Caenorhabditis elegans: one gene and its partners. The protein of the gene in region 1 purifies or fractionates together with the protein of each later gene. This does not show direct contact. Each region holds a gene or a part of one and is shown in the gene's direction. Other genes may lie near its edges. The genes, in order: npa-1, tth-1, F22E12.1 and T21H3.1.

Region 1 (10,009 bases):
GCCTAAATGCCTGCCTAATGATTCAGAAGCTTTTAACTAAAATCTTTATTTTTGGACAGTTTCTAAATTTGATTAAACTCCTTGAAAAGAATGTTTCTGTTTTTCTCACAAAACCAATTTAAGGGGCTTTAAATTTCCATAATCCCAAGCATGACACTATGTTGAATAGTATTTTAATTTTGACGAAAATCAAAGGAATCATCCAGGGAATCCAATTGACTCCTTTGTGACGATTTGAGGAAACGGATTTCATCAGTCGATTTATCATTTTTTGAGTAATTGTCTGAAAATATATTTTGACAATTTCATGCTTTGGAATTATCTAGCACCTTTTAAAAAAAAACAATTTTAAAGTAGTATTGCTACCAAGAACTCCCGTTTAAAAGAATTAGTTTAAAACTTTTCAGAAATCTGCTCATTTAACCAGAAACGCGATACTCTCAAAAGTCCCACTTACTGAGTGTCTGACATCTCGTCATGGTCTATTTTAATCCAAAAAAAAACAAAATAACGTAACCAGAAACCACTACAGAAATTCCTAGCTATACAACTGCTTAAAAAATGAATCCGTACTTAAATTTTCTAAACGCTAGATTATAAAATTAATTCCTAAAATAATGTTCATAGTAAAACTTTCCAAAGAATTTTTTGAACACTTTTTATTTTGTTTCAAAATGTGGTAATTTCTCAGTTTTGCAACTTTTATGGAAGTCGTCGATCAAAAAAAAATTACCTCCAAATGTTATGTTTCAAATGATGAATATTCAAATATTGTAAGGAATCAAATATGCGACCGTGTTTTAGATTTCTCACTTTACTATGATATTTGGCCAATTTGGCACCACGGGCGGTGCTCCACTTTTCCTTTCCAAAGTTCTCCCGAAATGTTCAAGAATTCCCAAGGAACTATTAACAATCGTCACCTCAGCCAAAAAGTGTCTAATTGTTGTCTAGCGACCTTCTGGGAGTATAGAAAAACTAAAAACAAACGAAGGTAATCACAGTCGTCATACTCATCATTATGAGTATTGTGTGGCTCTTACCCTTTTTCTTCGCATTAAATTTAACGACATTGTCAACGTTTTCAAGAAAACGAAAAACGTTTTTTTTTCAACATAAGCCGCATTGTTTCTCTTTCTGTTTCTTTACTGCCCATTACCGAGCAGAAAAAGCATTCACATGTTTAATTCGCTTTCTGGTTCCGCTCTTCAAAGTGTCGGATTTCGAGCCGCTGTCACAATTTTCTCAAAAAATACTCGTCGAGAAATATGTGTGTTTTTCTGCTTTTCGACGGCGATGTACTTTGATGATGATGACTTTTGTCGACAGAATACCAATTCAAGCATTTCTTTTTGTTTTTTGTATAGCCTAAAAACTGAACCGTTGACGCTTCTCTCTTTGCGTCAGCACGTCTGAAAGTGAAAAACACTTCATAATGAGCAACGTCTTCAAAATGTCCTTTTCATTTCTTACACTTTAAAATTTCTGAAGATAACCATGAAGCATTTGGGCAATATTATCATATTTTCTATGAATAAAATTGCATAATCAAACTGTTTTTCAGGTACCTCCTCCTTCATTCTTTCTATTTCAAAATGGTCCGCTCGATCGTGCTGTTGCTCCTTTTGGTAGCTCTTGTTTCTGCTACATATTCCCGTTTTGGAAGCAACAAGGCTAACAAGTAAGTGGGCAAGAAGTTTCAGAAAAAGCTGAAATATTTAAGTAGTTAACTGTCAGTAGAAGAAAAATTACAATTTTTGCAATTGCTGAGATTGGCAAACATTTCCAAATACACTCCTGTTTACAGTCAAAGATTCGGTAAATTGCCACATTTTTGAAAAAAAAACTTGAACTTTTTGGGTAATTTTTGAGCAGATGTGTAAATTTGGATTTTTAACAACAACACAAGGATTAGAACACAAGGATTTTTGGTAAATTTTAAAAATAATGATTGGTGTAGCCAATAACCTATTGCAAATAAGTCAATAACCTATTGTTTTATTGGTCATTTTAGCAACATAAAAGTGACTAAACATGTTCCTCACATGTGATATATCAAAAATACACTATAAATCCAATGATCTTTCAATGTAGTTTTTCCCACTTCCTCATTTTCATTTCCAATTTCCTAAATAATTATTATTCCAGACCAGAAGAGGCGCATCCAAGTATCAATGACCAAATAATGCAGGGCTCGCACATTCGATATTATGGCCGATTCAGGTTTGAGAGTTATCATTCACATCATTCTGATAAGAATCTTTTACAGAGATGGCTCGGATGATGTGCTGAATCGCTATTTCAATCGTTTGTAGTGTGTGCATCTCTCACAAGAGAATCTCATCATCAACAGCAAAATCATGAAAAAGAAAACAAATCATTTGTATCTGACGACTCAAGGCTGAAGCTATTTCGCTGAAAAATAATTAATTTTCCTTTGCTTTTCTTTCCTCACTCGTTGTATCTCTGTCCATTTCCTCCACCGCTCGATAAACTCTGTTTAACACAAACCATGTTTGTTGAATCTACCGAAAACAGTCCGAAATTATAGTGTGACTGATAAGCGAGCACGACAGTGATAAGCTTTTGAAACGGCGCTGCTCGCCATTGGTCTTCTATTTCACACTGAAGGATGGCCGTCACTAGGTCACTTCTATTTTTATTTTTAATTGCGTCGGTAAGTTACACAATTGTTTTCCTGGTGGTAGAAATTTTTCCATACTTTTCGTTAAAAATTATTGAGAAAGCTTTGCATGTGCAAGCAATTTCACGCTAAAATTTTTCAGTAGCTTGCATGTTAGCTAATCCAAATGTAAGTTAGAACGTGACGTCTAAAAACTAGAAATTAACTTTTCGACTCTCTTCACTTTACGTTGCTGAACTCTTGAGCTCACAAACTTCAACTTTTAAACTTTGTGCATCTAGTTTGTAGTCTATAAAAAACACGATTTTATCAGTGATAATCACACATTTATTTAGCGATTTCCACGCAACACACTAACCACAGTATGTACTATTTCAGGTCGCATTGGCCGGCAATCACAACCGTCATCACAGGTAATGCCGTTTTTTGTTTACGATATGGGCACAGCTCTGTTTTAAGATAACAGAGAGAAGCATCTGGAAACATAGAACACAACAGGGTCAAAGTATAGAAAAGTTTCAGAAACCGACGGGATAATGATCTCCACGATTGGCTAACAGCTGAACAAAAAGAATCTTTAAAGGATATTGCACAAGGAACTGAAGAGTTCAAGAAGAAGGTTGCAGTTTTCTACAACGAGCTGCCAGCTGAAAAGAGAGCAGAGTGGGACAAATTCTATAAGACTCACTGCTTCGAGTGGACTGCCAAAGCTCAAGGAGCTGACGAAGAAACTGAGTTCCAAAAGAATCTTGCTGATAATGATGTGGAAAAAGTCAGACAAAGAATCGGAGAGCTGAAAAAGGATTTGGATGAGAAGGCAAGAAAGAACGTTGAGATGTGGGAGGACGATTGCTACAAACTTGTGAAGCCAATGAGAAAGAGAAGAGAAATTGAAGCTGAGTTCCAAGATTTCGTTAAGTGGATGACCCCAGAACAACTTGGCGATATTAACGCTTTGAAGACTGCCGGAAAAGACAGTGAGATTCAAGATAAAGTTAAAGAGTACTTTGCAAAGCTCCCAGCTGATCAACAGAAAACTCTTACTGAAGAATTCAAAGGAAAGTGCAAGGTTTACTTCACCCCGCTCATGACCTCTGATGAACTTGAAAAGATCAAGACATTGAAGGGAGACAAGGAAGCTGCTGGAGCACTTGTGAAAGGAGTAGTTGACAGACAAGATGGCGAAGTCAAAGTGATTGCCGAGAAGATGCTCTCTGTATGTACCTTTAATAAATTTACGGTAAAATTGTATCTTTCAGGTTTGTGGAGAAGTCTACAAGGAGTCTACCCGGAAGCGCAGAGAAATTGAAGCTGCATTCCAAGACTTTGTTAAATGGATGACCCCAGAACAACTCGGGGATATCACTGCTTTGAAGGCAGCTGGAAAGGACAGTGAAGTTCAAGCTAAAGTAAAGGAATTCTTCGGACAGCTCCCAGCTGATCAACAGAAAACACTGACCGAAGAATTCAAGGGAAAATGCAAAGTTTACTTCACTCCACTTATGACTTCTGAGGAGCTTGAGAAGATCAAGACATTGAAAGGAGACAAGGAAGCTGCTGGAGCTCTTGTAAAAGGAGTTGTTGATAGACAGGAAGGTGAAGTTAAGGCTGTTGCTGAAAAAATGCTCACTGTAAGTTTCATCTAGTGACATCATTGTCTTACGAACAATTTCTAATTTTCAATAGGTATGCGGAGAAGTTTACAAGGATTCTAGCCGTAGACGTAGAGAGATCGAGGCAGAGTTCCAAGATTTTGTCAAGTGGATGACCCCAGAACAGCTCGGTGATATCAACGCTTTGAAGACCGCCGGGAAAGATAGTGAGATTCAGGATAAGGTTAAGGAATACTTCGCACTTCTGCCATCTGACCAGCAAAAAACTCTGACAGAGGAGTTCAAAGGAAAGTGTAAGGTTTACTTCACTCCACTCATGACTTCTGAAGAACTCGATAAGATCAAGACAATGAAGGATGATAAGGTGGCTGCTGGAGCACTTGTTAAAGGAGTCGTTGACAGACAAGAAGGAGAAGTTAAAGCTATTGCTGAAAAGATGCTCTCTGTAAGGGAAAGTATAGTTAGTGAATCTTATCAAACTAGTTTTCAGGTTTGCGGAGAAGTTTACAAAGATTCTAAACGCAAGCGAAGAGAGATCGAAGCTGCATTTAAAGATTTTGTTCACTGGATGACACCAGAACAACTTGGAGATATTACTGCATTGAAAGCTGCTGGAAAAGACAGTGAAGTTCAAGCTAAGGTTAAGGAATTTTTCGGACAGTTGCCGGCTGATCAACAGAAAACTCTTACCGAAGAATTCAAAGGAAAGTGCAAGGTTTACTTCACACCATTGATGACTTCCGATGAGCTTGCAAAGATCGAAACTTTGAAGGGGGATAAGGAAGCTGCTGGAGCACTTGTCAAGGGAGTAGTTGACAGACAGGAAGGAGACGTCAAGGCTATTGCTGAAAAGATGTTGACTGTAAGGAAAAAGTAATAGTTATAAAAATACTGAATTATTCAGGTATGCGGCGAGGTGTACAAGGATTCTAGCCGTAGAAGACGAGAGATCGAACCAGCATTCCAAGACTTTGTCAAGTGGATGACCCCAGAGCAGCTCGGACACATCACAGCACTCAAAACCGCTGGAAAAGAAAGTGAAGTTCAAGATAAGGTTAAAGAGTATTTTGGACAATTGCCAGCTGACCAACAAGCTACATTGAAAGAAGAGTTCAAGGGAAAGTGCAGAGTGTTCTTCACTCCATTGATGACCTCTGAGGAACTTGACAAGGTGAAGACATTGAAGGCTAATAAAGAAGCTGCTGGAGCACTTATGAAGACTGTGGTAGATAGACAGTCAGGAGAAGTAAAGGCTACCGCTGAGAAAATGCTTGGAGTTAGTTTTACATGTTTTTTTGCTAGCTCAATCATTTATTTTCAGGTTTGTGGAGAAGTGTACAAAGAGTCGAGTCGTAAACGCAGAGAGATCGAGGCCGCATTCAAAGACTTTGTTCAATGGATGACCCCTGAACAACTGGGAGAGATCACATCAATGAAGGCCGCAGGAAAGGAAGGACCAGAACTTCAGGCCAAAACCAAAGAGTTCTTCGAGCAACTTCCAGCTGATCAGCAAAAAACCTTGAAGGAAGAGTTCAAAGGAAAGTGCAAAGTTTACTTCACTCCATTGATGACTTCTGAAGAGCTCGAGAAGATCAAGACATTGAAGGGAGATAAGGAAGCTGCTGGAGCACTTGTGAAGGGAGTAGTTGACAGACAAATGGGAGACGTGAAATCTATTTCAGAGAAGATGCTTGCTGTAAGATAGACATAGTTTTTAATCATATCTGATAGCTTGTTTTCAGCTGTGTGGAGAAGTCTATAAAGACTCTAGCCGCAGACGTCGAGAAATCGAAGCTGTGTTCCAGGACTTCGTTAAGTGGATGACTCCAGAACAACTAGGAGATATCACTGCTTTGAAGGCAGCTGGAAAAGACACTGAGGTGCAAGAGAAGGTGAAGGAATACTTTGGAAAACTCCCAGCTGATCAACAGAAAACACTTACTGAAGAATTCAAGGGAACTTGTAAGACTTACTTCTCCCCTCTGCTCACTTCTGAAGAGTCTGAAAAGATCAAGGAACATGTTGCATCCGGAGACAAGGAGGCCTCCAAAGCACTTGTCAAGGGAGCTGTGGATAGACAAGAAGGAGAAATCAAGACAATTGCCGAGAAGATGTTTGGAGTAAGCATTAAATTTAAAACTGAATGAAAACCAAACTATCTTTCAGATTTGTGGAGAAGTCTACAAGGAGAGCAAGTCTAGACGTGACGTGGCTGCTAAAATCGAGAAGCATTTAAGTTGGCTTCAAGCCGAGGAGAAGGAAGAGATTCTGAAAATGAGCAAAGAAGGAAAGAGCAAGGATGACATCAAGAAACGTCTGTTCGAGATGGTTGAAGCCAAGGAGAAGGATGCAGGAGAGAAGGAGAAAACCGTAAAACTGTGCTACGCTTGGATGGATGATGTAGCTACAAAGGAAGAAATCGAGGGGCTTCACAAGTTGCACCATGTTGATCATGGAGCATGCAAGAAGAAGGTTCGCGAGTTCATCGGAAGACTTCCAGAGGAGAAACAGAAAGCTGTTGAAGCTTCCCTTCCATTCTGTGAAAAGCTCTGGTATGGAGATCATGCATCTCATGAGGGACACGAAGGACATGGAGATCACTCTGGACACAATCATCATCACATAAAGAGACGTCATTTGGCTGTAATTGAAAAGTACATTGAGTGGCTTGATGAGATTCAAAAGGGAGCGATTAGGGAGTTGGAAGCATCTGGAGCAGATTTCAATGTGATCGCTGATAAAATCAAGGAATTCTTCCATCTTCTTCCAGAACAGAAACAAACTGATGTTAAGGAGAAGTTCCAGAATCAATGCATGACTTGGGCGAAAGAAGTTTCAAAGCCAACCGAATGGGAAGAAATCAAGAAATTGCACGCTGCCGAAGACTTCAACACATTGAAGCTGAAGCTTGTAGAACTGGAAGAGCGCCTTACAGAGAATCAGAAGCATACAATTGAGCACGTGAGAGGAGTCTGCTATAGACTTTGGGGAATCAAGAATCTTGCCAGAAGACGTCGTGTTCCAAACTCAGAAGCTTCATTCCAAGAGAAAGCGGCCAAGTATTTGGATTGGATGAACGAAGAACAATTGAACGAATTGAAGAGATTGAAAAGTGAGGGAAAGAAGTCCGAGGTGATGAAGGCCATTCTAAAGTTCTACGATGAAACAACCGGAGATGCCAAGGAGAAGGCCGAGGGCAAGTTGAAAGAAGCTTGTAAGGAGTATTCGGTTAAGGCTTTCGGAGAGGAGAAGGTGGCTCAATTCAAGGCTCAATACAAAAAATTGAAGGATGAAAATGCGGAACAGTCCGAGATTGAGAAGTTGTCCAATCAATACATTGACGAGATTGAGGATGAACAGAAGAAGGACTTTGCAAAGGCTGTAAGTTATTAATTATGGGGCCGCAGCAAGCGCGCTTCAATGCCAAAGGAAAACGCTCCGCCTCCTAACGTTAGGTCTCGGTAGGAGGCGGCGAGACTGTAAATTCAAACTTTTTCACTATTTTTTCGATTGTTTTTTGTTGTTTTACATATTTTTTATGTCGAAATGATGTTTAAAATACTTGTCGTTTCGAAATTATAATATAGTCAGAAATAACCGAAAAAATAACAAATTCCTAACGGGACCCAACGTTTAGGGGCGGAGCACTTTTCGTTTTACATTGGAGCGCGCTTTCGCTTAGATTTCAAAAAACTCTATAATATACAATTTTGGATTTTTTTATTCAGATTGTTAAAAATTCGAGTCCTGAAATTAATTTTTTGAATATCTTTCAGGTTGTCACTGGCTGCAAGCATGTCTACGCCTCAACTCGTTCCCGCCGTGATCTGATCGCTCAGGCGGTTGCCGAATATCTTCAGAACGCTTAATGATTAGAAAACTTCACTTTTGCAGTTATAAACTTACTTGTCTATATGATGAATTTTAATTATTTGAACTGCAACAAGAAGATTATGAAATTCAAGAATAATTTCATTAAAAAAATAAGTGACTAATAAGTCAAATTATTACACAGAACAAATGAAATGAAATGAGGCGTACGCTCTCTGAGCGGTGTGGGAATGATAAAGGGATAGCGTAAGCTTTTCGGTGTGTAGATGCGAGATAAAACGGAGTGTTATATTTTAATGTACAGGTTGAGATCGTCGTGGCGAGAACACATGTCGTTGTTGCTAGAACATGATCTGCGCCTGAAAAAAAAGTTCATAAAATAATTTAAAGATATATTCCCGGAGACTTTTTGCTTTTGTGCCGGTTTTTCGATTTTTGGATATTTCGAAAAAAATTGCGAGAGTTCAAAAATTATTTAAAATCTGCCACTATTCTTTTTTTTAGAAGAATAGTATGTTTTGTGAAAATATTTCTATTTTTTTTCGATTAAAAAATCGAAAAAGACAATTTTTTAGTTTTTCGGAAAATCGAAAAACCGACATCCTTGTTACTGTTTAAATACCTTATTAAAACTAAAATAATTAAAATAAATTTTTCTTTTAAAACTTAAAAACATTGATTTCTATTTTTTTTTCTCATCAACATATACAAAATTTGATTTAAAAAAACGGTTTTTTAAAAATAAATTTCTGAAAAGTTTTTTTTTTAATTTTTCAGTTTTCCGGACGTTCCAGATTTTTCAAAATTACAATTTGGTTAAAATTAGGTTTATTTTTTTTCGTTTTTTCGAAAAAAAATTCGCAAAAACTGAAAGATTTGAGTTATAAATTTTTGATAAATTTAGTAAAAAGAAAAATGATTTTATTAGAAAATTTCAATTTTTTGACACTGTAAACCAGTATTTCCATTTTTTTCCTTAGTATTTAGTATTTCCAGTGTTTAGGTGTTTTTTTTTGAAAAAGAGCAAAAAACTGGAAAAAAATTGTAGGGTCAAATTTGCTCAAAAAAGTGCAATTTCTGTTGTTTGTATGAAATAGGGCGTAAACCGTTTTTTTTTAAATTTTTTTTTTGGTTCTGCCAAAAACGAAATTGTTTTTTTTTGGTTTTTTGAAAAAAAAATGTTATCACGAATTTAATTTAATTTTAATTTTCAGTTTTTAGCCGTAAACACGAATTTTTGATTGAAAAAAACTCACTCTTTTCTTTCCGTACTCTTTGGGTCGCCATTGCAGAGCTGCTGGATTAATTCGTGTCTTCTTTTTCGCAGCCTCAATCCGTTTCTCATAAACTTGACGCTTTTCATCACTAATCACAATTATGTATGATCCCTTATAGTATTTGTATAGATCAAGTTGCTGTAACGTTGACACAACATCTTCTCGTTTAATCGATGTACTTTGTGAAATGTCCTGAACTGTGATATCTTCGCCTGGATGTCGTCTTTTGAATGCGAAAAGCTCTTTCATGATGGCCATTGACCAGTACGATCGATATGAGAGAAGTCCCAAATCTGATAGTGGTTTTTCGGGTGATCCTGTCTTCTGTTCAATTTTCGAGAGTTCATAGCTGAATTCGATGAGCAAACTTCCGTATCCTTTCTTTTGAAATGGAGGTAACACAAGAATACACGCAACATTATATTCTTCAGCTGATTCTTTTTCTTTTGAAAAGTATCCAACTATATGATGACCCTTCTCGTCTTCTTCGGTTAGCACATAGAACAAAAATGGATCCGTGTCATAGTAAAGAGTCTTGTGATCCAGAAAAAGTTTGGCAAGCAGGCATAGATTCTGAGCATAGCTTTTGTTTTTGCGGCCGTCGATTTCAAAAAATGAAAGTTTATCGTGACTGTAGATTTGAT
Region 2 (5,402 bases), on another chromosome or scaffold:
TTCTTGGAATAATCTACCGCCGTTCCAGAATGTATTCAGCTTTTAATTTCACAGAAGAAAAGGCATAAAAATTAGAATGATGAAAGACTGAAAAAATCGTCAGTCGTAGAGTTCTGATATCACTTTAAGAAAATTACCCAACATTATAGTTTCTTCGAAATAAAACTAAAAGCTAATACGTGAAAATTTGATTCCAGAAACGTATACTTCCTCAATTCCATAATATTTTTGGACTAATTGTTTTGATCAAATTTAGATGCTAATTGAAAAAATGTTAAATTTACAAACTTCTTGATTGGGATTTATGAATTTTAAAATTTCTTAATAATATGCTGCGAATATCATGTATATTTAACTTTAGTTTTTGAGCGCTTAGAATTGTAAAAAATGAATAAAAATGCCTTTAAATTAAAGCGTTTTCATATGAGCTATCATACACTATCTGATAAAGTCACAGTAAATTTTTAAAAATAATTTGCCTGAAAACCCAAATTTTCGATGATTCCAGAAATTTGACCCATTAGAATGGCCCATGATTATTTCTTAACTATGTCTTTGTCGACAATAATCCACATGGAGAATTGCAACTCTTAACACCAAAACTATCTCAAATTTATGCAAAAGAATTTGTTTAGGACTTCTCCGCAACCAAAAAAAAAACAGCGCCATGCCTGTATACTAGTATATAAGCATTTTTATGAATACACGGCTACCGAATATTGAAATAGTAATGTAAAACTAAAAGTCACACAATTTTTTTAAATGCGCATTGAAGAAAATTGTTAATATCTGGTATAAGTCCCTTTTTTACTGGAATTTTGAAATTTTTCCAAGCCCCATTATTGTTTTTTCACCTTAAACTCATTTTCCTGTGAGTTGTTTTTTTCCTCACAGAAATCAATTTCGCAATACCACCATATCTCTCCGTTGACCACTTATCGGTGACTAACAGCTGACCGGATGATCAGCTGAAGTATTTTTTGCGCCTTGTTCATATATTCCTGAAAGAGAAGGCCATGTGCAAATATTTTGTCTTTTTATGCGCACAACTGTACGAAAAAGGCGTTGAAGCGCAAGTGGCTTTTGTTTTTCCATTTCCCGAGTTTTTCCACTCTTCAACCTTGCATCTTCATTCTACTTCTAACTGCACTTGAAAACATCATACCCTTGTTTTGTTTTCAATAATATATTTCAATATTCTAAGAGCAGCCCCACACCTGTTCTTGTCAAATAGCGTATATAAGTCGAGCTTCTGACCCAAGCTGCCCTAACCAATTAGATGCTTCACGCGGTAGGTGCGCGTATTCTATTCTATATGTGAACCCTGTTTGGGAAACACAATTGTAAACATAATTTATAATGACGAAAACTGCGGGCTACCTGTCTACAAGTATACTCAAATTTAGTGTACTCAAATTTAGTATAGAATTTGTATTTTCGAACTTCTTGCAATAGTTTTTCTCCTAAACACCCGCCAAGCACATAATTGCCATGCCAAGTCTGTGCCGAGTTTTCCCATCTAAATTTTTTTCTTTCAAATGTCTGTGTACGCACGCGTTCCACCTTTCCTCACACTACAAAAACTGTGAATCAAATTGAAGTAGGTCATTTGGAAGAGCGAGAGAAGAAGGGTGAAAGAAAATATGAATACACTTGGAAACGTACAATTCTTTTTCCTCTCAATCGTTTCACTTTCCTTTCATTTTTACAGTTTCACTTCTTCATTCTCAAAATTCTCGAACAAAAAGTTCTCATGGAATCGATGGGAAGAAGTGTAGAATGAATGTTTGTTGACATTAAATGCCCTTTTCAATTTTCCGTATTGATTCAATTCAGTAGTCACTCTTCGATTTCAAAGCCATGACGATATTTTATTTCACCATCACAAATAGGAAAAAAAAACAACAAATAAATCACGTGTTGAATAAAAATTTATCGCTGTTCCCCCATCTACCCTTTTCCAACATGACAATATCGAAACGTGCACATACCAATACCCTTATACATATACAATCGTTTCAAATTGTTTATGATAGACTCTTTCTTTCTTTCTTTAGTCAAATAAACAAAATCCCCTCTTCACATCTTATTCTTCATGTCATTTTGTCCTCAAAATCCTGTCCATTGCCCAATTTTTTCCCGTCCGTTTGAAAATAAAAGCAGCAGCAGCAGACCCAGTGATGAGTCAGTCAGTGCGACAAGAAAAAAAGTATTAGTCACAGGAAACACTATTATTGTGCCGACAACCCTCCTCTCTCATATATAGGCAAACGCAAGCATTTTCAATCGTAACCCACAGATAATTCTTTTGATTCTTCATTGACTACCGTCATTTCTTTTTTTTGCCATTCCCACTTTGCCTCTTAAAATGTTTTAGACAATAATTGCTCTACTATATCTTGCAGACACTTTCCTCCAAAACTCGCAATGGCTGCCGTCACCGAACTTCCAAAGATGAACCAAGAGCTCGCTGGAGCTGTCCGAGAGGGATTGGAGCTCAAAAAAGTTGAAACCACCGAGAAGAATGTTTTGCCGACCAAGGAAGGTTAGTTGTGTTTGTATGATTTTTTGGTATTGAATAGGAAATTAATATGGAATTCATAGAGTATCGATAGAGTTTTCAATTCCAATACAGTTTCAATCATTAGTTCATCAACTTTACATATCAAAACTGACGAGAAAAAATCATGTGTTTTCGATGTTCGGAGTCATTATCACTTTCAAATGAAATGATCAGTTGTTCAAACAATAACTGATAACTATTTCAAAATATAAAAATTACATGAGTTCACAAACAGGAAATGTTATGATTTTGATCAGTTCAAACTTTTGTTATTCAAAAGTTTTAACATTTCAGATGTCGCCGAGGAGAAGCAACATGTCGAGCGCATTCACGAGATTGAACATTTCGACTCTACCAAGCTCCACTCTACCCCAGTGAAGGAGAAGATTGTGCTTCCATCGGCTGACGATATCAAGCAGGAGAAGCAACACTTGGAGCTCACCGACAAGATCAACAACTTTCCATCTGAGAACTTGAAAAAAACAGAGACCATTGAGAAGGTAGCTCACAATTTTCACAAGTTTTCATTTAAAACAAAACATTATAGAAACAAAGCAATTTGTGTTTGTATTTCAGAACGTCCTTCCTTCTCCAACCGATGTTGCTCGCGAGAAGACTCTTCAAATGGCTGCTTCTTTTGACAAGAGTGCTCTTCACCACGTCGAAACCATTGTCTCCACCGATGTCCGCGTCACTGAAGCTCAATAATTTATGAAAAAGGTTTTTTTTTCTATTTAATATCAAACTTCCAATGTTTCTATATATCTAAAAATTCAATCTGAATTACTAGGTCATGATGTGGAATTCGCAAATTGAAACGACGGAGATGTTAATCTATATTCTTATTTTCCAGAGTCCCTCCTTCTTCAACCTCAATTCGGTACGCCTTCATATTATCGTTAGTGAAAAATCCGGACTCTCACATTTAAATGCGTTTTCTTTGTTTTCTGGTTCGAGTTTTATCGATTTTAACATTTTACCCTGACAAACATGTATTTTCATCAATTCTTACGTTTCATTACATAATATTTGATGTATCGATTTTTTACCATTCCATATTTATTCCCCACTTGAAAATGAACATATTTTATTACAGTTTTTTTTTGTTTTAAATGAAACAATTTCAGGAAAGTTAGTATTTTAATATTAATAGTAATTAAATTAATAACTATGAGTATACTTTTAATTGAGTGTGAAATAACGATTGTTGTTCTTAAAAATTTTACAAAATCTACATTGAAAATTGATATTAAAACACCAAAAAAAAACTATTTTCCAATAAAAATGGGTTGAAATATTAAAGGGAGGCCGTAAATCCACACTCCGTCGTCATATCGTTGCGAGACCCACCGCCGAAAGAGTGTACACACTGTAGAGACGCGAGAGAGGTCGGCTGCCTCGTCAGTTTTGCGTGGCATTTCGATTTATGCAAAGAGACCCTTATTGTCTCGTTCCATCGCGTTTTCTCTTTCATTTTGCATGTTTTTCACGGAACTTTTTGTTGATATCAATTTTCAGGTAATGCCCAAAACGACGAGGATGCTCACAAAACTACTTTTGGTTTCGTTTCTTGCCAGTGCCAGTGCTTTCTACCTTCCTGGCCTGGCACCAGTGAACTTTTGTGAAGTGGAAAAAGCGAATTGTCCAGTAAGTTTTTGTGGTGATTTAGAAAGTACTTTGAAAATTCAGTTAAAAAGTACCATGAAAAAAATTTCAGAGCAACATCTCCCTGTATGTCAATCATCTTGACAGCGATCGCTCCGTCATCCCATATGAATATCATAGGTGGGTCACAACATGATAAAATGTGATTATTGATAAAATATGACGTGATTTTCAGTTTTGACTTTTGCACGGTAAACGAGGATGAGTCACCGGTCGAAAATCTCGGACAAGTTTTGTTCGGTGAACGTATTCGTCCAAGTCCATACAAGGTAACATAGTTAAAAAATAAATGAAAAAATCCATTACTCTGTATTAGGTGGCATTCTTGCAAGAAGAAAAATGCCGTTTGGTTTGCGACACAAAGAAATACGCTCGTGGAAGCGCCGATGATTTGGCAAAGCTTCGATTGCTCCAGAGAGCCATGACACTTAACTACCAACATCATTGGATTGTTGACAACATGCCAGTGACTTTCTGTTTCAAGAATCTTCAAAATATGGATGTATGCACTACTGGATTCCCAGTTGGATGTTTTGTTGATGAGCAGGGATATCAACATGACGCTTGTGTACTCAATGTAAGTTTTAGATAATTTTTTATTGAATTCGTGAAATTTCCTTTTGTCCAATATCGAAACCTCAATTAACCATTCTTTTCCATTCCTTTTTCAAAAGGTTGTTCTTGTTCGACAAAAAACGTTATTAAATATTCATTTGTAGAAATGTTGGTTTTTCAACACAATATCTCTTTTATTTTTCAGCAAAAATACAAGACTCCGAACAACTTCTACATCTTCAATCATGTTGACATTGAGATCTACTACAGAGATATGACCAATGATGGAAACTTCTTGGAGCACAAAGTTGGAGGAAGAATCATCCGTATTGACGTTAAGCCACGCTCCATTAAACATAGCTCTTCATCGAGCCTGGACTGCAGTGATTCAGCGGAGCCAATCGCCATTGATGCAAAATCCGAGAGTGCCGAAATCACATATTCCTACAGTATCAAGTGGACGAAAACTGATATCAAGTGGTCTTCCAGATGGGATTACATTCTCCAGTCAATGCCACACACCAACATCCAATGGTTCTCAATTATGAATTCACTTGTTATCGTTTTGTTCTTGACTGGAATGGTTGGAATGATCATTATGAGAACTCTGCATCGTGAT
Region 3 (7,950 bases), 3.4 Mb from region 1:
GAATCAAAAAATTATTTCAACTTCAGCTGAAAGTTTTCAAAAATTTTAAAAGTAAAATACAACTCTTAAAATCAATAGTTTTCTTAGTTCCAGATACTGCACAATTACCATGTTGTCGTGATCGTTTTGGAGAACAAGCATGCCAATCATTGAGAAAATCACAGCCAGCATTATTTGAAAAGAGGTGAGATAACAGAAAGTTAACTTCACAAACTAACTGGTAAAATGACAAAAAACTGTCAAAATTTCTAAAACTTTGTGAGATTGGGAATGAGCGTTCTTGAAAAACCAATAAAAACGAGTGAGTCTCAGTGGCGATAAATGTGAGGTAATGGATCCAGTCGTTTTTTGTTGAATATCTGCTCAAGAGTGTGCGCAGATATTTGTCTTTTTCCTTCTTATATCTGTGGGCGCGAACAAATTTATTTCGATTAGAGGTTCAAAGAATATTGACTATAGATTAATAAAAACAATTTTAATTTCCAGATGCTTGACTGATCACGATTTTGCCGCTATTGATTGCTGTGGAGAATGCAGAAAATATATTGAAAGAAGTGAGTATCTCATGTTTTTTTCCTGAATACGCTTCTTATTAATACGCTAAAGAAGTTTAAAGGGACCCAAATAGTTTTTCTAACTTTGTAGGTTTTACTTTTTCTGTTAAAACCTTTGGATCACTTGTCAGTTTTTTTCAAGCAATTCTTGGAGATTGAAATCATTCACTGAAATAATCCAGCCTACAAAGGCAAGATATTCATAGTTCCAATCCCAATATTTCAGATAAGATCAGTTCCGAGAATTCTCGTTCACTCCAGAAGGCTCCAGCAATGTGTAAAGACAAACATTCTATTGGATTCTGCAGACGATTCAAAGCATCTGGAATGGGAAAATACAGCTGTTCTGATGCAGAATTTGCTGTTCGAGTTTGTCGTCATTCTTGTGGATATTGTAATGATGAGTTGTACTCAATGAAAAATGCACCTGCTCTGTGTTCTGACACAAACCGAATGATTCCAATTGTGAATGGAACACATCTGTATTGGGCATTTGGAAGAGAGGACAAGAAAAAATTAAATTAATTGAATTATTTTGTTTTAAAATGTTTTGTTTTCTCTAGTTAAGAGTACTTTTCCACCCACGTGGGTTAACTTTTAAATCAGATTTCTATGTTTTATTTTTTAGTTTGTACTGGCTGTTTCTATTAATTTTTCTGAATAAAGTCTACCTCATTCCCTGCAAATATAAACTCTCTGATCTGCCATGAACATTTTCTGCACTAAACAGATAAAAATTGTCTGTTAATGTTTCGAATGAAGAGTAGATTTCAAACTTCAATTCCATCAATCACTTCAGCAAATTTTGCTGGCCGGGATGAGCCTGGCACAAAAAAACAAGCGACGGTCACATGTTCGCACATTTCAATTCGAATTTAGAATGTGTAAGGTCGCCTCATTTCACTTTCGACACTGATGGATGATGGCAGCAGAACACAGTGATTAGGAGATTCAGAAGTTTTTGAATGAAACAGGGAAAGAGATAACAACTTTTTGAAAAACAAATTGGCACATTCTTGAAATAAGACGGATCATGGAAAATTGCAACATTTTCTGACGGATAAGTTATAAAACATTCTTGCAGAATGCAATGTGGCAGAGATTTTTATTTTTGAACAAAGTTGAACAAAAATTGAAGTTTTCAGAACTTCATTACGTTTTTTGTTACATTTTCAAAGCAAAGTAGCGCAAATAGGGAGCCTGTTTTAAATTTAACCGTTGGTGTTCAATTGACTAATTGAATACTTTAAAAAATCCAATTTACAGTGAAATCTGTAATTAATGAGTTATAAAATTAAATTACCTATAAAAATTAATCCACAGTGCTCGAAATAAAAAATGAATCTGGTTCAGTTCAAAAATGACAACACTTCATAAAAAATTTCTTTCCCTATTCAAACGCACAAAAATTGACTTTCAACTAAAAATGAAATGGGTTCCAACCAAAAGTGGCCCTCTAAGTATCCAGTTACATTGTTCTGAAAAATGTTGTCGATCATAAGTTCTTAACTGGCCGCTGGTAAAAACTAATAATTTAGGTGTGATTATTACTTTAAAAAAAACGTACCAGGACACTGAGTTTTGAGCTTTGCGGAAGTTATAAGGAAAATCTGTGCAATTTTAAAAATGTTATTACATGAATTTGTAACAAAAAAATGTTTGCTTTAATACTGATACATTGCTTCGAGAAAAGCTACACGAACACTTACCGATAAACTCGGTAATCTAATTTTGTCGGAAAATTCGCCCCACACCCCTGTCCTAGAGCATTAATAATAAGTTGGTATAGGCACGACTAACCTTTAAAACTACTAAGTTTTTTCTCGAAACCTAGAATGCTGTAAGAATTTTTTAAAGCAATTTACAAGAGGAATGTTTATTGATATTTATAAACCTAAATTAGAAATGGTTTAGTAAACTGCAAGAATTATCACATAATGGCGAAGTGAAAATCCCCTTATATATTCTCACCTACAGCCAACAACATCAGGACAAAAACAGAAACTGGCTTCTGTGATGCCATCTCATTTATCTCTATCAGTTGACATTTGTCCCCTCTTGCACCTCGAATACCTTTTCCCCAGTGGGAGCACGCCTCGTTTTTCTGTTTTCTCTGTCAACCTATTCACATTCCCGCCCCGTTTCTCCTTCATCTTCATCCCACCTGCAATGTCCTAGAAAACTCGGGAGGAGCAAGGAAGAGAGGACACTCAATCCCATTGTTTTTTTCTTTCAACCTTTTTAAAATTTTCCACATGTTTCTTTATTTTTTGTATTGGCCAGAAGCCTAAAAATCGAATGAGTCAGAGTTGTGTGACTAATGAGTGGGATGGATACACCCGTCTTCAAATCAGAAACTCATAATTTTCAATGGACCAATAAAAAAGTATCTCATGTAATGACTTTTTGTGCAATCTTCTCATTTCCATTGAATTTTATTCTTGATCTCACCGCCGCTTTCTCTTTTTCGCACAGCTCCGCCCTAAGTGTCAGGAGCACTTTTAAATTATTTCATTTCAGACAAGAATTGAAAGAGTAGAGTATCATGCTCACTGTTCTCATTTTACTCTTTGGTTGTACTGCGGTCAACTCACAACAACTGCTATCCAATCCAAAATGCAATCACTGGCCAGATCGTGGCACATGTGAACTTGATTTTCATGTAAAATGGTATTATGATCGGTATGATCATCGATGTCGTCGCTTCTTTTATGGAGGATGTGAAGGAAATGAGAATCGATTCGATTCTTTGGAAGGTATGCTACTGAATATATTTTTAGCTTACACTTAAAATAATAAAACTGCGTTGCGTGTACGCCAAAATAGGCCCCGCCTTTTTCTCGTTCACTCACGGGGAAAAGGCAAAAAGCGGTACCCCAGGCAATATCAGCCGCCGACATCATTCGAGGTCCGCGCACCACACTATTTTTCTCACTGTTGGCGTGGCGAGCTGTCCCTTTTTGAGTGTTTTTTTTTGAGTGTAACTAAATACCATATATGCTTCGTTATGGGCGCTAGACGACCCATTAAGATCCATTGGCGAGTTTTTTGTTTATGGCCAGCGTTTGGAGCGCTTTGGAAAGTTTGTCAAACAGTTGTTAAACCTTTGTAAAGAAAAGCCGATGTTACGGAATTAGTATTATTCGAGACCGGGTCACCTCACATATTGCATAATCAGAGTACGATCAAAGGTCTGCAAGGTCTGACCGATGTTTTAAAAAAATGCGGCAAAAGTATAACCAAGATTTGATTATGTTTACAAATATTAAATATAAACGGTCAAATGTTGTCGAAAAATTGGAGACCACTGCCAAAAATATGATTAATTAAAATAATTGTAATATTACTTCTTGGTTTTTGAATTACAATGTTGTTCACAATGTTTTTTTTAACTCAATAGCATTCTTTCCAGAGTGTTCATCTCAGTGTCACTATCAAGTACCTACAAACCGAGATCGATGCTTTCAACCTCATGATCCAGGAAATTGCTATGCGGACATTGAGCGATGGTTTTTCGACGAAAACAAGAAGCAATGTGTATGCTCATGGTGGTCTGGTTGTGGTGGTAACTCGAATATCTATTATTCCTATAATCACTGTATGCTCATTTGTGGAGAGTATGCAGAACATGGACCTGGAATTGATGAGAAGTACTGGGGAAGACAGATGGTGAGTTAAGATTCCGAATGGAAACAATAGTTATGTTTTACAGAATCGATCAATGTCAGCTGAATCTCTACATGTTTTTAATAACCCAACTGAATCATTCCATCAGTATTCAGAAGAGCCGTATCCTGTGCAGGTTCCATTGGAAAATTCCTATTATGACAGCCATCCGAGAAGATATGGAAATTCAGATAACTGGGACAATAAACTCATGACAATCAATATCAGTCACAGAGACGATGGACCAGTAATTAGTCACAGTTTTTCTTTGTTTTATTTAGCATTTTCAGAGCTACTTTCACGCAGCTCCAGCTGTGACCGTTCCGATGTTCAGCCGAGCTGCCCAATCGTTCAAGACTCAAGCTGATGGATTGACTATTCATCGTTATGATTCCGAACCAAGACCAATGCAAGTACTTGATCAAGATGTAAACTGGCAGATTCAGGAACAAGCTTCTGCACAACAAAATGGTTTTATGAAAAGAAGATTCAAAATGCAAAAGAAGAAGCTTCCACCACGAATGATTCACTTGGGAACGCGTCCAGCTTCTCAGTCAAATTCTTATCGTATCCAACTGGATTCGGAGATAAATGAACACAATAGACCTGTTACATATCAAGTTGTTAGAGAACAAGGTAAGAATTCAATCATTTCTACATATTCAGAAATTCCTTTTATAGATGCACACGTTCAGCAGCACAATCAAATATCCCAATCGTTGCAAAATGAAGCCGAAGAGACGCAGAGGAGAATCCAAGACACAATGCGACGCAATTACTTTGAGCAAGCAAGATATCAAAGGCCACCAGTTCAGATGCCTCCTCCACCACCACCCCCGCAACAAAATAGTCCATCTGTTAACGAGAACTATCATCCAGAACTTGTAAATCAATTCAAATCACATTTAGATGAACATGAAAAGGCATTGAGAAGAAAACTTGAGGCACAATTTCCAGATCATATCATAACTTTGATACCTCACATTGAGACAGTTCGAAACCCTGATGGTAGCAATGTTGTTCGACAAAGAATAAAGTGGACAGCTTATCCAAAAGGAGCAAGAATTCCTGAACATGTTCCAGTACCTCCCGTGGCTCAACTTCCACCACTTCCACCAATGCAACAAGTGATTCAACCCATTTTGACCACTCAGGCAGTTTATACAACTGAGGAACCATACATTCCATTGATCACGACAGTGCCAACCCATGAAATTTCCCGTTTAAAACATGAAGAAATGCAAAGAAAGTACAAAGAAGATCTGGAAAAACGGCAGGAAGAGCAAAAGAGACAACAAGAAGAACATAAGAAAAAGATTCAAGAGTTGAAAGCTGCACAGCAAAGAGAACGTGAGAGAATGATGGTTGAAAGAGAAAAAGCTGAAAATGATAGAAGATTGAAATATGAAAATGAAATGAAGCAACGGGCTGAAGAGTACCAAGCAAGAATGAGATTAACCACGATACCAACTCCAACCACTACAGTTGAAACCACAACTGAATATGTTCACGTTCCATATCCAACTCTTCCTGTCAATGAAGTTGTATACGATGCACATATCAGAAAACCAATCCCAACAAGCAAGTCAATTGCCGAACCAGTTGAACACTTCAGGCCAATTATCGAAAATGTGACGCCTGCGTCTCTTAGTCTCGAAGATATAATTGCAATGGATAATCAAAGATCAGATTATGAAGATGAATATGATGTTCCAATGGACTTCCCAGATACGGAAGCACCACCATTGACAACAAGACCTCCACCAGTAACGGTTCGAAATACTCGACCACCTCCTCCACCACAAATACCACAACCAAGATCTCCGATTAATGGAGGAATGCCTTCAATTGTTCAACCACCTAGCAGTGGAAGTGAGTATTATTGTGAGAATTTCATTTTAAAAAATTCAAATATATTTCCAGAGAAATCGAAATTGTTCGCACCACCATCAAGTGAAGAGTACACTCAAGAAGTTGATTTTGATCCATACGTAGACTTTGTCAAATAAGAACTAAAAACTATTAAATTTAATTTCTAATCTTCTTGATACGTGTATATTTACATTTTCTAGGTTTGAAATTCTCTGAATTGAACATTTTGGAAAAAACTGTTATCGGGAAAGAAATCTTGAAATTTTAAAAATCTTACCTCTTTACTTTGTCCTTGAGGATCTTCATCTCTATCCTTTCCCGCTAGTATTCCTAGATTTTTTTTCCAATTTTTTTTCAAGTTTTGAGAAAGTTAATCCTAGGAGACCGTTCCAGATACATGGTGCCAGCGGCACGTTAATAATTCATTTTCCCAATTTTATTGATTTTTTCCAGAATAAATTCAATTTTTGTGATGATTTTATTAAAAAATATTTTTTTTTAATGTTCCCGCCTCTTTCTTTTCATTTCTGATAACACATACCACTTTTATCGTCATCGTCTCCACCGCCCTCCCTCAACAAAAAGAACTTTACAGCTTTTTGATTTATTGGCTCTTTGCGGTGGCTCCAATTGACAAGACGGCAGTCTGATGGTCACGGGATATTTGTTCTTGAATCTTCTGCTTCCTTCTTTATTTTTTCTTTACATTTATCTCATTTTTCAGATGAACTTGTTGTTTATTCTCTCATTAGTGAGCCTTGCTGCGGCGGGTGCTAGCAATTCAGTTAATACTTGGGGAGGTGTTATTCAATATGATGAAGATTGGGGATATGTTGATATTCGTACAAATGCTCATACTTTCTGGTGGCTTTATGCAGCAAAGCCTGCCAATTCTCAACGTCCACTCTTTCTCTGGTTGCAAGGAGGACCTGGATCATCTAGTTCCGGTTTTGGAAACTTTGAGGAAACTGGACCAAAGACGTTGAATGGATCTGACAATCCAGCTACTTGGGTACGATATTTTCTGTGATTGTTATTTTAAACACTGTATTTTTTTTTTGAAATCAAGATCTAAATTGAAATTTGAAAAGTTAAAAATTTAGCTTCAAGTTGCTGACATGGTCTACGTGGACAACCCCGTTGGTGCTGGTTTTTCCTATGTCGACGATAAATCTGCTTACACCACTGAAATCACTCAAATTGGAAAAGATTTGCTCGCGTGGCTTCGCAAATTCCTTGCTCTTCATCCAGAGTATCGTACTCGTCCGTTCTACATTTTCTGTGAAAGTTATGGAGGTAAAATGAGCGCTCAATTTGCTAAAGTCATAACTGATGTAAGTTTCGAGGTAACCATAAAAAAAACTAATTAACTGTAGTTGTTTAGTCTATCAAAGCTGGAAGTCTTCAACTCAACTTCCGCGCTGTTGCTCTCGGAGATTCATGGATTTCTGCAATGGATTATGTCAACACCTGGGGACCATATCTTTATGCTAATGTGAGTTCATATGATCATAGGACACTTTTATGTGTTCCATTCCCCAAAAAAATTTGTTTTGTTCTAGCAAATAACATTACTATTTAAATATTTACAGTAAGATTTAAAATGTGATAGTTATCACAAAAAAAATCCAAAAGCAAATCCGACTATCTCGAGACGTTTTTCTGAATATCGTAGAAACTTGTTTTTGAGACTTTGACAATCCACGAGAATTATTCAAAAAAATATAGTTACTTCAAACTGTTACGTCCTTTTACGTCACAGCTTTCAAAAGTCAAAGACGAATAGGGCTATTTCAGTCTTTTTGCTTCATCGGTTTGAGACTTTTTCATTTGTGATAGGCATAAAAAATTAAGACAG
Region 4 (6,392 bases), 5.9 Mb from region 1:
ACATAAACTTGCCGGAAGTTTTTAGAGAGAATTTATATAAGACGGCAACACCTGAAACTATGCCTATTTGCCGGTTTGTCGAATCGCCGGAAGTTTCAATTCCGGCAACTTACCGACTTGCCGACTTGCCGGAAAAAGGCGATTGCTCACCTCTGGCCCATTAGTTCCAATCGTCCAGAATGGACTCACAAGATTCCTGGCGCTTTATTTTTGTCGTGATTTTTTTTAATTAGTTAAACATATTTTGATAGCATTTCTGGTTTTTGAGTTATCTATAATCTTTTGAAAAATTTGAGAAATTATCAAAAAACTCTCGATTGAAATTTACTCGAATAACTGATTTGAATCGAGATATCAACTGTCAGACTATAACCTTTTTTTTCAGTCTGGCGACTTATCTCGTTTATTTGGTGGCGACTCAATACAGCCGGAAAAACCTGAAAAACTCGGAGAAATTTCACAGGCTTCCAGTTTTTCAAGTGGAAACAGTGAGACAGCTCTAGTCAAAAGTAAGAGTCAAAAGTAATACATGAATTCGATTTAAAAATTACAATTTTTACAGGCAACTCAACAGAACTGAGAACCTTACCACAGGAACGGGGATCCGGTTAATATGTGCCAAAAAAAATTGTGATCCAAAATTGTAATTTATTAGTGTTGTTTTTTTTCTCCACATTGTTTTCCTATCAAGTCTCAACTACGGGTGCTCGACTTCATTGACGTCTGTCTCATTCCCAGTTTTCTTTTGTGATAAATTAGTTAAAAAGAATTTGCAAATCAGTTGTCATTGCAGAAAAAACTAAAAATTTTCTGAATAAAAACTCACAAAAAATCAATCTTCAGGTGACTTACTGATGAAAATAAAATTTGTTGAAGATTTGTCTTTAAAGGTTGACTAGCGTCACGTGGTGTCAAAGTGTCCCATTTTAGTTTGATCTACGAAAAATGCGGGAGAAGAGACGGAGATTTTTCAACTGATTTCGCATGGTTGAGAGTATGCTGACGTCACATTTTCCTGGGCAAAAAATCCCGCATTTTTGTAGATCAAACCCTGATGGGACAGCCTGACGCCATGGGTAGCGTTTGCGCTAATTTTGCCCTAAATGGTCGAAAAACAGTCTTAATATATCAATTAAAACTATGAAAAAAATTTACAAAAAATTTCTAATTTTTTCATGATTTTATAAATTTTGAAAAAAAGAGCTGAATTATTTTTGAATTCCCGCACAAATGAATGACGTCATTTTTGGCATTTTTGCATTTTTGGGCAATAAATTTGATTTTTTCAATATTTTTCAAAAATTTTTCAATATTTTTTACAATGTTTTTCAGACATTTTTCGGCGCAGCAAATGAAAAAAATTTGCTGAAACTCCAAAATTGGCCTAAAATCAATAATTTAGCATTAAAAAAACGTGTTTTTTTGGGAAAAATGTCTGAAAATTTTGACAAATTATGCGTCAAATTATGAAACAAAGAAAAAGTAAAGAAAAAGCAGTCAATATTCCCAAAAAGTGTCAAAAAATGACGTCATTCACTTGCGCGGGAATTCAAAAAAAAAATTATATTTCCTGTTCGAATTTTAAAAAAATCATTAAAAATTTAAAAAATTTTTATACATTTTTTGACAGTTATATTTGTTATATTGAGACTGTATTCTATCATTTAGAATTTAAAAAAAACCCACCTGTGCAACTCCAATTTTAAGGTAAGCGGGGATAAAGTTGGCTTGACAACATTTTTTGGAAATTTAATTTTCTTAAAGTTTGCTGATCAAATCAAATATCAGCCTTTCAAAAACATTTCATTCGGAAATTTGATTATTTGATTTTTCAGGTAGAATTCACGGATTTTCGGCTTCCCTCATAAATTGAAATGGAAGAAATTGCCGAACTAGGCCATTTTGGCTCGGCCATATCTTGGGTAGATTTACGGCGCGTTGCGTGTCGCGGCTCGATTTTAGTTGTGAAACTAAATGCATTTGTCCGTGTGGAGTACAGGAATTCCCACGCGTTGGCGATTGTCAATGGAGCGCAAAAAATTCAACGAGGAAGGCCAGAACCCCGTGTAGAATTTTTTTTAACACCACTGAACATTCAAGTATCAAGAACTTTGTTCATCTCCTACAGTGTTAGTTTGTGGTTCGAGGAATCAAACGACCATTTAAACTACTTGCGTAATCCGGTTCGATTGAAAATTTGATAAAAGAGCACAAGTTAAGCGGTATCATTCATATCAACGACTTTTTTATAGGTTGTGTGATATTTGAAACGGAATTGGTGATAAGAAAACGGAAAGTTAATAAAGAGAAATCGAATAGCAGAGTATCGTCATTTTCCCACCTTTTCTCCCAGTAATCATGTTTTAAATGTTAATTCGAAATTTGCGGCAAATTAAGTTTCGAAGTGACGTCACACAGGCTTCACTTCGGTGACGTCACGTGTTTCTGAATAAGATGTGTCACGTTTTAAAACGATTTTCCAACTTCCATCTCATTTGTTAACTTTAAATTATTCTTTCAGTATGCAAGCCTTACTGCTTGCTGCAGTCCTTCTGCCACTGGCTTCGGCCTTTGTGCTACCAGAAGCCCCAAAAAATCCAGAGAACCTCGACGTCTATACCATCCCATACAACGACGCCACTGCTCGCAAGAAGATTCTCTTCGCAGCCGGCGCCGCCTACGGATCGAATCCACAACAGTGCCTCGACAAAGCGTTCACCGGTGCCTCAATCAGGAGAATCATTACGGCTCGCTGTGACGTCAACCCAGCCGACAAATGCGTCGGATACACCGCCGTCAGTCCACAGGACAAGGCGATTATTGTGGTGTTCCGTGGAACTAACAACAATGTGCAGCTTATTTTGGAAGGATTGGAGACTGTCTTCGAGTATCACGTAAGATTAAAATTTCGAGTACTCCGGAATAAATGAAGCATGTTTCAGACTCCATGGGCTGCTGGAGGTGTCGTCTCCCAGTACTTCAACGACGGATTTTTGAACATCTGGAACGCCGGACTCAAGGACGATTTTAACACTCTTGCCGCCCAAAACCCAGGATTCCAAGTTTGGGTAAGAATTCGTAAAAACTGATAAGAAAATGATTATTGATGGGGTTAAAGTAGACTGTGCTCCCGTGTTGTTGACAGCTATCGTAGTCTAGCAAAATATACTTTGCGAGTTCATGAAGCAAGTGGTTGTTGCATTTCTACAGTGTATTCCTACACTTGTGATATAAGTGAGTATACCCCCCAGGAAGACGCAGACGACATGAGCTGGGTTGGTTGAGATCTCGATCGAAGTCGGCTGCACGTGGTCCCAGGCTGTCTCATTAGGGTTTGATCTACAAAAAATGCGGGAAATTTTCGCCCAGAAAAATGTGACATCGACACGTTCTTAACCATTCGAAATCAGTTGAGAACTCTGCGTCTCTTCTCCCGCATTTTCTGTAGATCTACGTAGAACAAGCCGATATGAGACACTCTGACACCACGTGGGCTGCAGTGCAGCTACACAGTACGTCGCGCAAGCCTTGATGCCTGATAGGTGTAACAATAATGCTTCGTTAAATTTTTTTTTAAAATAAAATAAGAAGTCCAGATCAGAAACGCGGGAATGTCAGTGGTCAACCTCGAACCACAAAAATGTTATAGAAACTTAAAACCCATTCCACGTGGTGTCAGGCTGTCTCATTGCGCTTTGATCTACAAAAAATGCGGGAATTTTTCCCAGAAAAATTGTGACATCAGCACGCTCTTGAACATGCGGAATCCGATGAGATGTTTGCGTCTCCTCTCCCGCATTTTTTGAAGATCAAAGCAAAATGGGACTTTCTGACTCCACGTGTCATTCTTGTTGGCGCATGAGCAGGACCCAACCAGTGGATAAAAGATCCTTGTGGATCCATGTGATGATCCCGTGGTGACAATGGTTTCTTGAAAGTAGTCCTATCATTTCCCGGAATACTGTTTAGTGTAGCACCCAAGGTGGTCCACATAAGAAAACGCGGTCTCGAACATTGTCCGTTGCAAATTTATTTTCGTCTCCCAAGGCTCAAAATCATGGGATTCTGGCCTTCCTCATTGAATTTTTCGCGCTCCATTGACAACCGCCCGCCGGACAACGCGTGGGAAAGTCGTGTACTTACAAAACTTCAGGTCACCGGACACTCCCTCGGAGGAGCGATGGCCTCCCTTGCCGCCTCCTACATCACCTACAACAAGCTCTTCGACGCCTCGAAGCTTCAACTCGTCACCTACGGACAGCCACGTGTCGGAGACAAGGCCTACGCGGCCGCCGTCGATCGTGACGTCACGAACAAGTTCCGCGTCACCCACGCCCACGACCCGGTGCCACATCTTCCAAAGGAGAACATGCAAGGATTCACCCACCACAAGGCCGAGGTGTTCTACAAGGAGAAAATGACGAAGTACAACATTTGCGATGATATCGATGAGAGCGAATTCTGCTCCAACGGACAAGTTCTTCCAGACACTTCTATCAAGGTATAAATCGTCCAAAGTTCTTTACTTCACCAATACTTTTATTTTTTTAGGATCATCTTCACTACTTCGACGTTGATGTCAGCGACTTGGGCTACTCAAATTGTGCTAATGTCAAGAACTAACTTTTCAATGTTTTAAACAATAAAATAGTTCACAACTGATTCAGTGGTTCAGAGTTGAAGTGGTGGGCCTGCCTACGCGCCTGCCTCCCATATGTTCGCAGAGGTCCGCACCAGGAATGTGCGGCAAATTTGCCGAATTTACCGAATTCGCCGAGCTCGGCAAATTTCAAAACAGTAGATTTGCCGAATTTGCCGAGCACGATAAATTTCGAAATTTTCCGCACACATCAAAAATTTTTTAACAATACAATTTTGGCCAAAACTATTGATTTTGTCCCCAAAAATTTAGTAAAATGGCATAAAATTGAGTTGTTATTTTGATGCTTAAGCAGACACACTACACGGAAGTTATTCAGACACCAGATTTTTATTCAGAATTCAGTAGTTTCGGTGCTCCAAAAAACATCAAAAAATATCAAATTTTCGGAGTTAATTAAGCACGGCAAATTTGCCGAATTTGCCGTGCTCGGCAAATATTGGAAGAAGAGATTTGCAAAATTTGGCGAGCACGGCAAGTTTTGAGATTTGCCGCACACCCCTTTTCCGTACAGGTTTGAGGCAGGCGTCGGAGCATAAATAGCTAGTAATTCCCTTGATAACAAATGTGACAGCAATCTGAAGATGACGTGATGTTCGTCATATTTCCAAGCAAAGTTAAATGACAAATTGCCTCGGAGCAACAGTAATCCCAAAATCAAACAACAAAGTCACACTTGCAACCAGAACTTTTTTCACTTTTCACAGAGCTATTTAAGTTTGCAAATTTTCAATTACAATTGTATTTAATGTATTTGACATTCAAAATGCTTTTTATTTTCTCCGTTTTAATTTGCAAATCATTCTCCCACAGTTCAATACCATATTCCGATCAGCTCTCTCGGAATAAACTGATCTATGCAGCCATCTCCGCGTACGCTTCTCCTCCACAAAGTTGCATGAGCTTGGCGTTTCAAAATTTTCAAGTCAAACCTCAGATTACTGTAGCTTGCGACACACTTGATGATACATGTTCTGGATTTACTGGAGTCGATCACGAAAGTCAGGCGATTTTGGTAGCTTTTCGTGGAACTAATCGTAACGCACAGCTGCTCGTTGAAGCCGTAGAAACTGTGTTTGCAAACAATGTAAGTTAGTTTATGCAAAAGCTCTGTCTAGGTCAAATTTTCAGAAATCCTGGGTTTCCGGTGGGCACGTCTCCGAATACTTCAGCGATGCGTTTTTCAAAATATGGACTTCTGGAATGAAAGATGACGTCATCAGTCTGATGTCTAGATACCCAAGTTATCAAGTTTGGGTTCGTTAGCCTCGCACGTTCGATTTCCGAGAATAACGGGAAATTTACACCTGGGGAGTGCGGCAAATTTTCCAAATTTGCCGGACACTCCTGATAAACACGCAAGAGTTCTACTAGCGTCTCAAAGCGAATTTCGTATTCCGACTTCCGCATTTCTTGGAGATCAATAAACATGCTGTCCCATTACAGTTTGATCTGCCAAAAATGCGGGAATTTTTTGCCCAAAAATATGTGACGTCAGCACGTTCTTAACCATGTGATTCAGTTGAGAAATCTGCGTCTGAATTCCCGCAATTTTTGTAGATCAGCGTAGATCAAGCCGAAATGGGACAGCCTGACATCTCATGAGTACACAGGCCCATTACAATTTGATCTACTAAAAATGCGGGAATTTCTTCCACAGAAAATGTGACGTCACTACGTTCTTAACCATGCGAAATCAGTTGAGAACTGTGCGTCTCTTCTCCCGCACTTT

Evidence for each region.
Region 2: the proteins of npa-1 (region 1) and tth-1 fractionate together in Caenorhabditis elegans (co-fractionation; one large-scale study listed by BioGRID). This does not show direct contact.
Region 3: the proteins of npa-1 (region 1) and F22E12.1 purify together in Caenorhabditis elegans (affinity purification with mass spectrometry, with the first as the bait; one large-scale study listed by BioGRID). This does not show direct contact.
Region 4: the proteins of npa-1 (region 1) and T21H3.1 fractionate together in Caenorhabditis elegans (co-fractionation; one large-scale study listed by BioGRID). This does not show direct contact.

Annotation. Positions count from the first base shown.
Region 1 is NC_003283.11:7,073,329-7,083,337, forward strand, and holds npa-1 (Polyprotein allergen nematode domain-containing protein), read left to right. Parts: upstream 1-2,548; 5' UTR 2,549-2,632; coding exon 2,633-2,677; intron 2,678-3,022; coding exon 3,023-3,057; intron 3,058-3,166; coding exon 3,167-3,860; exon of another isoform or gene 3,861-3,903; coding exon 3,904-4,275; intron 4,276-4,330; coding exon 4,331-4,702; intron 4,703-4,747; coding exon 4,748-5,119; intron 5,120-5,161; coding exon 5,162-5,533; intron 5,534-5,578; coding exon 5,579-5,953; intron 5,954-5,999; coding exon 6,000-6,377; intron 6,378-6,423; coding exon 6,424-7,638; intron 7,639-8,033; coding exon 8,034-8,126; 3' UTR 8,127-8,252; downstream 8,253-10,009. Other genes in the region: nssp-53 (Neuropeptide-Like Protein), read left to right, coding at 1,565-1,681, 2,149-2,223, 2,270-2,315; mys-1 (Histone acetyltransferase Tip60 homolog), read right to left, coding at 8,430-8,447, 9,345-10,009.
Region 2 is NC_003284.9:8,420,735-8,426,136, reverse strand, and holds tth-1 (Thymosin beta), read left to right. Parts: upstream 1-2,405; 5' UTR 2,406-2,427; coding exon 2,428-2,545; intron 2,546-2,857; coding exon 2,858-3,063; intron 3,064-3,139; coding exon 3,140-3,271; 3' UTR 3,272-3,283; intron 3,284-3,416; 3' UTR 3,417-3,657; downstream 3,658-5,402. Other genes in the region: tag-123 (Transmembrane 9 superfamily member), read left to right, coding at 4,085-4,210, 4,281-4,348, 4,404-4,497, 4,545-4,805, 4,989-5,402. UniProt on the Caenorhabditis elegans protein: Plays an important role in the organization of the cytoskeleton by regulating actin polymerization in two ways. Firstly, by binding to and sequestering actin monomers (G actin) inhibits actin polymerization.
Region 3 is NC_003283.11:10,452,472-10,460,421, reverse strand, and holds F22E12.1 (BPTI/Kunitz inhibitor domain-containing protein), read left to right. Parts: upstream 1-3,074; 5' UTR 3,075-3,099; coding exon 3,100-3,310; intron 3,311-3,966; coding exon 3,967-4,223; intron 4,224-4,266; coding exon 4,267-4,467; intron 4,468-4,510; coding exon 4,511-4,856; intron 4,857-4,901; coding exon 4,902-6,092; intron 6,093-6,143; coding exon 6,144-6,229; 3' UTR 6,230-6,565; downstream 6,566-7,950. Other genes in the region: F22E12.3 (ShKT domain-containing protein), read left to right, coding at 94-184, 487-554, 781-1,079; Y32F6A.5 (Retinoid-inducible serine carboxypeptidase), read left to right, coding at 6,817-7,104, 7,196-7,426, 7,477-7,587.
Region 4 is NC_003283.11:1,174,203-1,180,594, forward strand, and holds T21H3.1 (Fungal lipase-type domain-containing protein), read left to right. Parts: upstream 1-2,521; 5' UTR 2,522-2,522; coding exon 2,523-2,894; intron 2,895-2,942; coding exon 2,943-3,068; intron 3,069-4,153; coding exon 4,154-4,501; intron 4,502-4,551; coding exon 4,552-4,623; 3' UTR 4,624-4,662; downstream 4,663-6,392. Other genes in the region: ptr-16 (SSD domain-containing protein), read left to right, coding at 386-509, 563-612; F25A2.1 (Fungal lipase-type domain-containing protein), read left to right, coding at 5,427-5,747, 5,792-5,917.